Linked DNA regions of Tamandua tetradactyla. The protein of the gene in region 3 interacts with the protein of the main gene of each other region in a pairwise test. Links are inferred from orthologs where the notes say so. Each region holds a gene or a part of one and is shown on either strand. Other genes may lie near its edges. The genes, in order: NOL3, CCDC57 and tyrosine-protein phosphatase non-receptor type substrate 1-like.

Region 1 (3,698 bases), on a different chromosome or scaffold from region 3:
GTTTTCCCATCCGAAAAACTCAGAAACACAGTTTTAATGTCTTCATTCATCGAGTATGTATAGAGCATTTTCAATGGGCCAGTTCCGGCCAAAACCCTCTCTGAGCTCCCAGTGCAGTGGAAGTCAGACGATTAAAACAGCAATTACAATGAAGTGTTTGGGCTCTGTCTACCCAAGGTCTAATAATCCTGTCTAATACTCGCACTTCCCAAGGCTCTAAGCTCTAGACCCTCCTTAAATGGAGAGAAGTCCCCCTTCCTTTCCTCTCTGCACCAGGCCCAGAGGCTTCCATGAAGGGAGGCTGGAGCCTGCCTACACAGGCCCCTAAATGGCTCAGGAGGGTAAAAGGGCTGTGGAGCGGCAACCAGGGGTCAGTCTTTTGTCCCAGTGCATGCCTGGGGTCTCCAGGGGTGTAGCTTGAGCTACTGAGGGCAGAAATAAAACTGAAGACTGGGTGGCTGGGCCTGGAGGGACATGGAGTGCCCAGGTCACTGGAACTCAAGGCATGGGCTTACCCACCCACCCACCCACCCACCCCACTCCCAATTCCTGGGGAAAGAGCCAGAATCGCGGAGAGCCCAGCCCAGCCGACCGTCTGGGGTTTATTCATTTCCAATCTGCGCCAGACAAAACCTCTGTGGCATCTGTGCAGCCCAGGCTGGGTCTGAGATCCTATCCAGCTTGAGCGGAGAGGGGCCAGTCAGTGCTCCGATTTTCAGGAATCTAGAGGCCATAAAATAAAGGGAGGAAAGTTAAGGAGATGGGGACCCGCCTGCTGCCCCCCAGGCCACTCTGGGTTGGGGCAGCCTTCCTCACACCTTCCGACTCCTCCGCCTCCTCGTAATTCGGCTCCGGCTCCAGTTCAGGCTCTGGCTCCAGTTCAGGCTCTGGTTCTGCCTCCATCTCGGGTTCCGGATCCACTTGGGGTTCCAGCTCCGGCTCAGCCTCTTCGGGGGCTTCGGCTTCCTGCTCTAGCTCGGGGTTCTCGGGGATCCCGGATTGTACCTCCTCGCGGCCCTCAGGACCCCCCACATCGTCGCTGTCTGAAGCTCTAGGCAGCCCGGGCCAAGCAGGTCCCGAGTCGTGTGCCTCAGGCGTCCAGTGGCCCGGGCACCGAGGGTCGTAGCTGCGTTCCCGGTAGCCTGGAAGAGAGGGGGCGCTGTCTTCAGTTTCAATTTACCCGTCCCTGCTTTCCTCCGCCCGCACTCGTCCCTCCTCTCTGGCAAGTGGCTCCCACCAACTCCAATTGGGCTTTTGCTCGGCTCTCCAGGCCCCACCCCGCCCCTGCTCTGCCCAAGGCGCTCACCGGGGCCCACGTGCTGCCAGTCCCAGGCGGGGTCAGGCGCCTGCGCGGTTCGTTGCGCACAGCGCAGGAGCTCCAGGCAGGCCGCCTCGCCCTTTCCCTGCACCACCAGCAGCAGGCGGCGCATCCTGCGTTCAGCATCAGGCAGCGCGTCCAATGCCTCGTACTCGGGCGGGCTGAGCACGCCCCGCGACAGCAGCGCGTCCAGCAGCAGCCCGGAGTCCGCCTGCAGCGTCTCTACCAGGCGTTTCCGCTCGCGGTCGATCGTCTCAGACGGCCGTTCCTGCGTGTTGCCCATTGTCCCGACAGCCTGGCGGAGGGAAAAAGGAGTAGTGGGGCGGTCTTAGTGGGGCAGGGACTTCCCCGCCCCCGTCTTCTCTCCCAGGGCCGCAGTGAACACCCCTGCTGGGGCTGAAGTTCACCTCTACTCCGACCAGACAGCGCTGCAGCACAGGACCTGGAGGCCATCGCGCGGGACTCGTCGTCCTCCTGCTTCGGGGACTCCTTCTTCCCTGTCTCCTCCTCAGGCTCCTGTTCCGGTCCCCTAAACGTCGGCGATAGTCCGCCTCTCCTCTTCTCCCCTAAGCTCTCCCAGGGTGGTATCTACCTTGGGGGTCTTTCCTCCACCTACTTACCAGGCTCTAAGAGGCCTTGTCTAGGAGTCAGGGTTTGGTCCTAGCCCCTGTCCTGTCTGCCAGTTCTTCCTCTCCAGCTCCGTGTCTCAGACCCCTCCTGGCATATCAAAGTGTCAATCTCTCCTCCAGGTCATCAAACAGAAACCAGGATTACCCTCCTGCCCTTCACTCTTCCTTCATGTCCTGTCCGTTACATCCAAGTACTGCTGCTCCAGTCTGAGTTTCCATCAGCTCCCATCAGGGATCCTCATTGTCACCTTATCTTCTATACCAGTCCCTTTAGGCACCTCTCACTCCCATTCCACCACCCCCACAGCACAGTGATTTTGACAGCCCTCTGGAGTAGGATTTATTGTCCCCATTTTACAGATGAGACAAGCTCAGAGAGACCAAGCAGCAGAGCTAGACTCTGATTTGCTCCAGTCTGAACTATAATATAGTCTGTAATGCAGCTCCCTTCCATTCCCCCCCACACCCCCCACCCACCTAGCAGGATGTTAGCCCTAACCACTCCTGTCTCTCACAGCCCCGCTGCCTATCAGAGAGAATCCAGATTATCTGGCCTGGCTGCTCTGACTACTTCCCATACCCTGGTCAGTCAGGTCTGTCCACATTTCCCTCCATCTCTCCCAGCTCTGAGAACTCCCGAAGGCCCTGGTGCTTCTGATCCTTTGCAGATGCTGTACCTAAGCTTGTCCTTCTCCTCCCTCCATTCCATGGCCCCACCCTCTAAGACTCTAATGTTCTGCTGTCTGCCCCAATGCCCGAGTCTCCCAAAGGAAGAATGGTTCCTTTTCCTGCATGCACCAGCGAACAGCATATGCCCTCATCACTGAACTGAGATATGACAGGACCCTCTGTCCTCTTCAGCTGAAAGTTTTCAAAGAAGGCTGCTCCCTTTCACCCCCATCACAGGGTGGGGGCGGGGTGGGGTATGTGGGGAAGAAAGAGGAGGCAGCACCCACCCAGGATAGGCATAGAGGAAGGGGTGCAGATTGCACCTTTTCTCCCTCACTCCTCCCTAGATTGTTTACATGCTAATGTATCCTATTATTCCAGTGAGATAATGTGTCCTATTTGGGAAGCAGAGACCCCGGCTGATCTAGGAACTCCTGAGGCTCTCACTGCTCGTAAGGAAACAACGAGGTTACCTCGCTGCCAATTGGCTGCGGAGCCAGTCCTTAAAGGACCATTGGTCAGATCCTGGAGGTCAGGCGGCCCTAGAAGCAGACAGCCAGCCCCCGACCGACGGCCCCCACTCTAACCTCTCTGCCAGGTCGTGGGAAACTGCGGGAGCCTCTGCACTTTCGCGACCGCAAGGATGCCCTTACCTCCGCGCCACTTCAGGCTCTCGCGGAGGGGCGGGGCGCACACAGACCTCCGAGCGCGGCTGGTGGTGACGGACGCCGATTCTGCCCAAGGTTTCCCTTCCCTCCCCCGGTCCCGTTTGCTCCGGGCGGGCGGCCTCACTCACGGATCGAGCCTCGGCCGGGCAGATGACAGTGCAGAAAGGGCTGGGCCGAGTGGGGGCAGCAGCTGCGGCGGGGGTGGGGCGGCTAGGGCTGCCTGGAATCCCGGGGGTGGAGGGGGCGGGGAGTGGGGGCGTTCTTCCCCGGGCTGGGGGAGCCGGTCCCTCAGAGCCCGCGTGCTGACTGAGGATATTCGCGTAGTTGGTTTTCCCTCCCTGCCCCGTGCATGCCAACAGATGAGTCAATGTGGGGCTGGGGAGAAGGAAGTTCAGCCCGCGCCCACCGGGCCTG
Region 2 (3,742 bases), on a different chromosome or scaffold from region 3:
ATATTATGCAGCTTTAAGGCAGGATAAACTTATGAAGCATGTAATAACATGGATGGACCTAGAGAACATTATGCTGAGTGAGTCTAGCCAAAAACTAAAAGACAAATACTGTATGGTCCCAATGATGTGAATCGACACTCGAGAATAAACTTGGAATATGTCATTGGTAACAGAGTTCAGCAGGAGTTAGAAACAGGGTAAGATAATGGGTAATTGGAGCTGATGGGATACAGACTGTGCAATAGGACTAGATACAAAAACTCAAAAATGGACAGCACAATAATACCTAATTGTAAAGTAATCATGTTAAAACACTGAATGAAGCTGCATCCGAGCTATAGGTTTTTGTTTTGTTTTGTTTTGTTTTGTTTTGTTCTTACTATTATTACTTTTATTTTTTTTCTCTATATTAACATTCTGTATCTTTTTCGGTTATATTGCTAGTTCTTCTAAACCGATGCAAATGTACTAAGAAATGATGATCATGCATCTATGTGATGATGTTAAGAATTAGTGATTGCATATGCAGAATGGTATAATTTCTAAAAAAAAAAAAAAAAAAAGGACAGCACAATACTACCTAATTGTAATGTAATTATGTTAAAACACTGAATGAAGCTGCATCTGAGCTATAGTTGTTTTTTTTCTTATATATTTTTGTATTTTTTATTTTTATTTTTTCTCTATATTATCATTTTATTTCTTTTTCTGTTGTCTTGCTATTTTTCTAAATCGATGCATATGTACTAAGAAATGATGATCATACATCTATGTGATGATATTAAGAATTACTGATTGCATATGTAGAATGGAATGATTTCTAAATGTTGTGTTAATTTTTTTTAATTAATAAAAAAATAATAATGCAATCAAGCTGTATAATTAAAAAACTTATACTTATTAATCCCCCCAAATGAAACTTATTAATCTACGTAAATGAAAAGGTGGGGGTTTCCTGAATAAACAAAGTGATCCCTCTTTTAAATGGAAAAAATAAAAAATAAAATAAATAAATAAACAATCATGAAAGAGTATAGCCCATGGAGTAAAAATATATGAGTGCATACTAACATGGAAAAAAAAACTAAATAAATAGATAAGGGAAGGAGAAAGGGAAGTTTTTCCTTACAATAAAATTCCAACTAATAAATGTGGAAGGAATGATGGAAATAGAAAACCACCACTTCGCAAATACCACATTTCAGGCAAGACTCACCTAAGGATGCTAACACCAGTTGTAGAAATGATATTTACAGGTCTCAACGTATCCCTGCAAACAAACACGAGACACTTCTTATTTGCAAGGTTAAAATAGTTACTTTACAATTGAGAAACCTGGCAGACACCACTTTTATCAAGACAGTAAAGGGACAACCCTGCATCACCAGCCTGAAGGATACAACTTCAATTTTGAGGTTTTTCTTTCCAAAAATACAGAACTTTACATTAACCCTGGGGAAACATCAGACAAACTCCATTTGCAAGGCATTCGATAAAATACCTGGCTAGAACCCTTCAAAAACGTCAAGGTCATTGTTAGGTCGGGGGAATACGGGAGGGCTCAATGGCTGGACTCATGAAGTCACTTCGGAACCGGAGGTGAACTGTTACAACAAAGATCTTTACGCAGCAAACATCGGCTCACTCATTGCTCCACGGACATCTGACCGCCCGCTGCTCAGCCCACTAGCATAATACTCCTTAGTTTAATGTGCCGCCCCTTTCATGTCATCACCTAACCCCTGCCCTTAAAAACTGCACTCGCCAAAGCCGTGCGCGGACTCACCTCACTCCAACTTGGGTTCGGTGAGCTCTGCCCGAGAGCGCAGCCAATAAACCACGCTCACTTAAAATCATTTCGTCTACCTTCCTTTCTCTCAAAAACCTCATATCTTAAAACCTTTCAGTCATGAAAGAAAGCCCAAGGAACTGACCCAGATTAAAGAACAACAACAAAAGGAGGCAGCGGAATGGGGTGCAGGATCCCGGACCGTTACTGCACTCTGCCAATGCTGATGTCCGGGTTTGTTTTGGGGAACCTGGTAAAAGGGACAGGCGAGTTCTCTGTACTGTTTTTGCACCTTTAAAAAACCAAACAAACGAAAAAATCAACCCGGGGAGCCGGAGCGCCGAGGTTCGAATCCCTCCTTCCTGGCTGGGGGCCGCGGGGAGGTGTCCCTTCTCGGAGCCCGGCTCATCAGGCCCCAGGCCCAGCCATGGAAGCAGAGCCCGAGAGAGGGGCCTGGCGCCCCGGGAGGGTCGTGCCCGGTCGTCCCGCCTCACCGCGTCAACGCAGGGAGGAGTGCCGGCGGTGCCGCGGGGAGAAAGACGGCGAGGCGCCTCGCGCGGGCCAAGCCCGTCCCAGCAGTTTGAGAACGATCACCCCCATTCGGCGGGTGACGGCAAGTCCTCGGGTTCGGCCCGAGGGGATCAAGCGCTGAGGCGCCAACGCCGGATTTCCACGGAAAGTCACGAGCCGCGAGGACCGGCCGGGGCCGAGAGGGGGGCGGGTCGGCGCCCTGCGCCTCTCCCCACCGCGCCCTCCCAAGTTTCCCGCCCGGGGTCCCGCGACCCGGGTCCTACCCGGAATGCCAGCCCCGAGCGGCTCCCAGCGTCGCCGCGTCGCCATAGCAATCCCGTCGGCCCGCCCAGCCCAGGGCGCGCTCGGTACAGCGCTCGGGTCCCGCCGAGGGGAAACTTAGGTCCGGGCCCCGGGTTCCGGCGCCCTCCCGCGCGCAGGCGCCGACGAGTCCGTGGGGGAGCGGGGCGCAGTCGACCAGGAGGGGGCCTATGGGGAGGGGCCGAACCCAACCCTGCCGGGTTCTTCGGGCCGTGGAACCTCCGACACTTCGCTGCAGGCCCCGGCCTCTCCACCTACCCCTGGGCGAGCCCGGGAAGGAGCTCCGGGGCTCGGGGGCTCGGCCGCCGGGAGAGCCCGGGGGCTACACTCGCTCCCTCCGCCAGGTCCCCCGGCGGCGGCTCTCCTAACCCCAAGGGGAGCTTATGAGCTTTCCGAGCCGGGTGGGGTGCACAAGGACTGCTCATGGGTGGAAGGAGGGCTGCACGCGGGGGGTCCTGGGGGAAGGAGGGCTGCACGGGGCGGGGGTCCTGGGGGAAGGAGGGCTGCACGGGGCGGGGGTCCTGGGGGAAGGAGGGCTGCACACGTGGGGTCCTGAGGAAGGAGGGCTGCACGCGGGGGGGGCCTGGGGGAAGGAGGGCTGCACGGGTGGGGGCCTGGGGAAGGAGGGTTGCACGCGTGGGGTCCTGGGGGAAGGAGGGCTGCACGCGGGGTGTCCTGGGGGAAGGAGAGCTGCACGCGTGGGGTCCTGGGGGAAGGAGGGGTGCACGGGGTGGGGGCCTGGGGAAGGAGGACTGCACGGGGTGGGGGCCTGGGGAAGGAGGACTGCACGGGGCTGCACGCGGGGGGGGGGGGGCCTGGGGGAAGGAGGGCTGCACGGGTGGGGGCCTGGGGAAGGAGGGCTGCACGCGGTGGGGGGCCTGGGGGAAGGAGGGCTGCACGGGTGGGGGCCTGGGGGAAGGAGGGCTGCACGCGGGGGGGACCTGGGGGAAGGAGGGCTGCACACGGGGGCGGCCTGGGGGAAGGAGGGCTGTACCTGGGGCTCCTGGAGGGCGTAAGAGCTGCACCTAAGACGGGGGGCGGGACTGCTCCTGTGAAGGGGCGTTTACCTTGGGGTACCAGGCACTGCGCTAGGGGCGGGTGGCTTCTGTGGCCGGTAGGGGA
Region 3 (3,742 bases):
TCAGATGGTTACCAGCCTTTAGGCAAATGCAAAATGGGGGGGGGGGGATGCGCAGCTCATCTCTATCTTCTTCATCAAGGGTTGGGAGGTACAGAGACTCCGCTGCTGCCGACACCACCACCTCAGGAGACCAAAAGACAGAATCCCCAGTCTCCACCCTCGCCAGCCATGCTGTGTCTCTGCCCCTCATGCCCTCCCAGGAGACCCACATTTTTGCCAACCCCCTTTAAGAAGTGGGACTCCTAAATGGTGACCTCACTCCTTGGCTACTGCACACACTAGCCGTCAGAGCCCGCCTGCAGGCGGCAGCCAGGTGTTGATGTAGGCCAATAAAAAGACATGCTTTCAGAGCCACAGGTAACGGTCCCACTGAGCACCTGAGCTGCAGGGAGCTGCCTGGAAGCCAGGGGAAGGCAGGAGGAAGGGGGTAGCCGGGAGAGTGGCACAGAGCACAAGCATCCAGCTAGAGGCAACCACAGGGGCAATGCTCCGTTTTCACATGAGGCTCTGTTGTTCCCAGCACCTCACCCCAGGGTAACCAGTCTCCCTTCCTCCCTCTCCCCCAATAAGCGGTAATGCTGTTTTCCTCTGCGCACCAAGTGGAGCTCTCACACTTTCCTAATTGCAACACCCTGTTACTGTTCCATTCCAGGCAGCATGGGATGACCTCTGCCCCACTCCCTCTCTCAGATCCTGAGTCAAACATGTGGAAAGCATAGTCCAGGGCCTGAGAGCTTTTAGAGCGGCCAGGAGCACCTTGCTCTGAGAGGTGCATACAGCCTGCCTCCTCCATCAGGCTGGACACTGAATCAACTCATCTCCCAATGCCCGGGTGCCCAGCACCCAGCCGGCACACCCAGAGTTAAGACAGACTGCAAGCGAGAACCCGAGTTCTCTCCTGGGCTGTGTGACCTTGGGCAAGTCGAAGGCCCTCTCTGGGCTCAGTTTCCGCACCTGTAACCCAGATTATAGGTATCTCCTCCCCTCCACATTTGCCTAGTAGCTCCGAGCCGCGGTCTGAGAGGCCTGAGCCTGCAATGTGGGGAGGACAGCGGGGCTGGAGCGGGGAATGCTTACCTGGCCAGGCGCAGGACGTGGCGAGAAGCAGGCAGAGCAGCAGCCCGAGGCGGCCGGGGACCGGGCCGGCGGGCTCCATGGGCCGCGGCTGCGGAGCGAGGAGGGAGAGCGGCGGTGAGTGCGCGTTCGGGCGGGCGCGGGCTAGAAGCGGGGAAATGACTAAGGCTCCCCCACTACTCTCCACCCCCCACTCCCCTCCCCTCCTGGCCGGGCTGCACCCCTCCCCTCCCCAGAACGGGCTCCTGGAGCGGCTTAGGAACCGCCGTCGCAGCCGCGATTTTCGGACACCCCCCTCCCTCCCCCAGGAGAGATCAAGAGACGGAAAAGGAGAGAGACCCCAAGCGCGCGAGAAATAAAGCCAGCGACGGCCAGGGAGAGGCGGCAGGAGAGAGAAACAGACCCAAGGGAGCCAGGGAGAGAGCCAGAGACACAGAGAGGAGAGGGAGAGAGAGAGAGAGAGAGAGAGAGGGAGAGAGAGAGAGAGAGAGTGAGAGAGAGAGGGAGAGAGAGAGGAGTGAGCGAGGCAGCGCGCGGATCCAGACAGAGCGCGGGAGAGAGGAGAAACGCGAGGCAGGGGCGCGGGGCAGGCACCGCCGAGCCGCCCCCGCCGCTGCCCACCTGCCCCGCCCGGGCTCCTCCGCGGCGCCGGCGGCTCGGCTCGCTCTCGGCCCGCAGTCCCGGCCGCTGCCCCCGCCCCCGCCCCCGCCGACAGCTCGGCCCCCTCCCTCCGGCCCTTCCCCCCTCTTCCCTCCTTCCCGCCCGAGGAGGCTGCGGGGCTCCGGCCCGCCGACACAGTCTCCGCGAGCGCCCGCCGGCAGCGCGCCCCGGGGGGCGGGGAGGGAGGGCAGCGTCTCTCCCCCGCTCCGCGGCCGCGCGGGGCCGCAGCACCTCCGGCCGGCCCACGGCCGCAGCCCCGGGAGGCGGCCCCGCGAGCCTCCGCCGCCTGCGCACCCCGCTCGGGCTCGGGACCAGACGAGCCTGCGGCCCCAACAATGTGCCAGTTCAGAAGCCTTCGCGGCTCGTCTCCCCGCCTCCCCTCCCGCCTCCCCCCCCCCCCCCCGCCCCGTCTCCCTGGCACCCTCCCGGTCCCGAACCGTCACCCTCCTTCCTCCATCTCCCTCTCCCTGCCGAGCTCGGACCTGAGCCGCCAGGGAGGGCTGGAAGGCTGTGCAAGCGCCGCCGGGGGCTGCCCAGAGGCCGGGAGGGCCCCCCGCTCCACTTTGCGCAAACTTGTTTTTCTAAGGTCAGCGCCGCGAGCCGGCTACATCGTCCTCTTAAGGTGGACCGGGGAAGTTGCGGCCGACCTCCCCTGGCCTCGGGACGCTGGTCGTCCCTGCTGCCCGCTGGCCAGACGCTGGAGGTGGCCGAGGAGTGGAGGCTGGGGGGCGGGGACACGCCGACTTTCGCCCTCCCCCAATGGCCCCGCCCCAAGCCGTGTCCCGCAGCTGAAGGGCCCCTCTTGGGGGTGGGTGCAGGCCAGAGGGGCCCCGATTCTTTCAAAGCTGGGACGAGGTAAAGGAAAAAGCAGGAAGTAAGTGAATGTGGGGGGAAGGGGAAGAGGAAGGAGAGAGTGATGGTACAAAAATAGCGTGTGTGTAGGCAGGACTTCAGTACGCCTGGAAAAGAGGCGGAGGGAGGAAGGGGATTGCGAAGGGGGCTGGGGCAGGGAGGTGAGAGGACAAGCGTCCCGGGGCCCTCCCCAGAGGGGCTTCCCTGGGACCTCTTGCCTCTCTGTCAAGGGTGGCAGGTTCAGGGGGTGGGGACGGCTCAGGCAGCCGCAATGTGGGCCGGGAGAGGGCACTGAGGCGGCTCTGGGAAGATGGCAAACAGTGAGGAAGAGGAGGGAAAGGAGGAGACCGGGAGAAGAGACCTGGGTCGGAGAGGAGAGGGCCAGATGGATGAGGAGAGTGGGGTGCCCTGGGCGCCTGGCGGAAGAAGGCTGGGGGCTGTGAGAGGGGAAGGGGTCCAAGACCCTCGGATAATTGGGTTGGAAATAAGCTCAGAAGAAACCACTTTTGCCTCACGTGGCAGTTCAGAGACTCTGAACAAAGAGGGTGAGGGTAGGGGTGAGGTCTAGACTTGAAAACAAGAAGTTGAGGAAGAGAGAGAGAGAGAGAGGAGAGACCTTTCCTAAGGCCACACAGCAAGAGCAGGAGTAGAAGCTAAATTTGAATTCCTGGTTCCCAGGCTAAAAGCTTTTACCAAGTGATATCCTTCCCTACCCCCAGCCCCCACCCCCCATCCCACAGGGGCTTGGCCAAATACTGGGTCCTGCTGTCCTGCTGTCCTGCTCAGAAAGGGGGGGGGGGCAGGCAGGGGGCAGCTATGGACTGTGTGGACCAGACTCCCTGGGTTCAAATCCTGTCGCCACCTCTTAGGAGCTGTAGCATTGGGGAAATAACTTATTTCTGTGCCTCAGTTCCCGTATGTGAAATGGGGCCAACGTGGGTATCCACTTCAGGAGGCTGTTGGGAAGATTCTCTGAATTGATATTTGTAAATCACTTAGCCCAATGTCTAGCCTGCCACAAGTGCTCCAGGTGTTTGATAAATAAATAAAATGTTTGGCTACAATCTTTGGGAACCCGCAGGGTTCTGGGCAACATTGACGTACAAGGGAATTCTCATGTCTTTGTGTGTGTGAGAAACAACAGGGAGCAACATCA

What was found.
Region 1: the proteins of tyrosine-protein phosphatase non-receptor type substrate 1-like (region 3) and NOL3 interact in a two-hybrid assay, tested with the Homo sapiens proteins (2 studies listed by BioGRID and IntAct). The two-hybrid records come from large-scale screens. The link is inferred for Tamandua tetradactyla from reciprocal best matches to the Homo sapiens genes SIRPA and NOL3.
Region 2: the proteins of tyrosine-protein phosphatase non-receptor type substrate 1-like (region 3) and CCDC57 interact in a two-hybrid assay, tested with the Homo sapiens proteins (2 studies listed by BioGRID). The two-hybrid records come from large-scale screens. The link is inferred for Tamandua tetradactyla from reciprocal best matches to the Homo sapiens genes SIRPA and CCDC57.

What each region holds. Positions count from the first base shown.
Region 1 is NC_135342.1:60,868,785-60,872,482, reverse strand, and holds NOL3 (nucleolar protein 3), read right to left. Parts: upstream 2,654-3,698; 5' UTR 1,726-2,653; intron 1,614-1,725; 5' UTR 1,602-1,613; coding exon 1,307-1,601; intron 1,143-1,306; coding exon 817-1,142; intron 724-816; coding exon 673-723; 3' UTR 573-672; downstream 1-572.
Region 2 is NC_135332.1:74,526,659-74,530,400, forward strand, and holds the start of CCDC57 (coiled-coil domain-containing protein 57), read right to left. Parts: upstream 2,686-3,742; 5' UTR 2,630-2,685; coding exon 2,584-2,629; intron 1-2,583. UniProt on the Homo sapiens protein: Pleiotropic regulator of centriole duplication, mitosis, and ciliogenesis. Critical interface between centrosome and microtubule-mediated cellular processes. Centriole duplication protein required for recruitment of CEP63, CEP152, and PLK4 to the centrosome.
Region 3 is NC_135327.1:23,659,192-23,662,933, reverse strand, and holds the start of tyrosine-protein phosphatase non-receptor type substrate 1-like, read right to left. Parts: upstream 2,462-3,742; 5' UTR 2,217-2,461; intron 1,166-2,216; 5' UTR 1,157-1,165; coding exon 1,078-1,156; intron 1-1,077. UniProt on the Homo sapiens protein: Immunoglobulin-like cell surface receptor for CD47. Acts as docking protein and induces translocation of PTPN6, PTPN11 and other binding partners from the cytosol to the plasma membrane.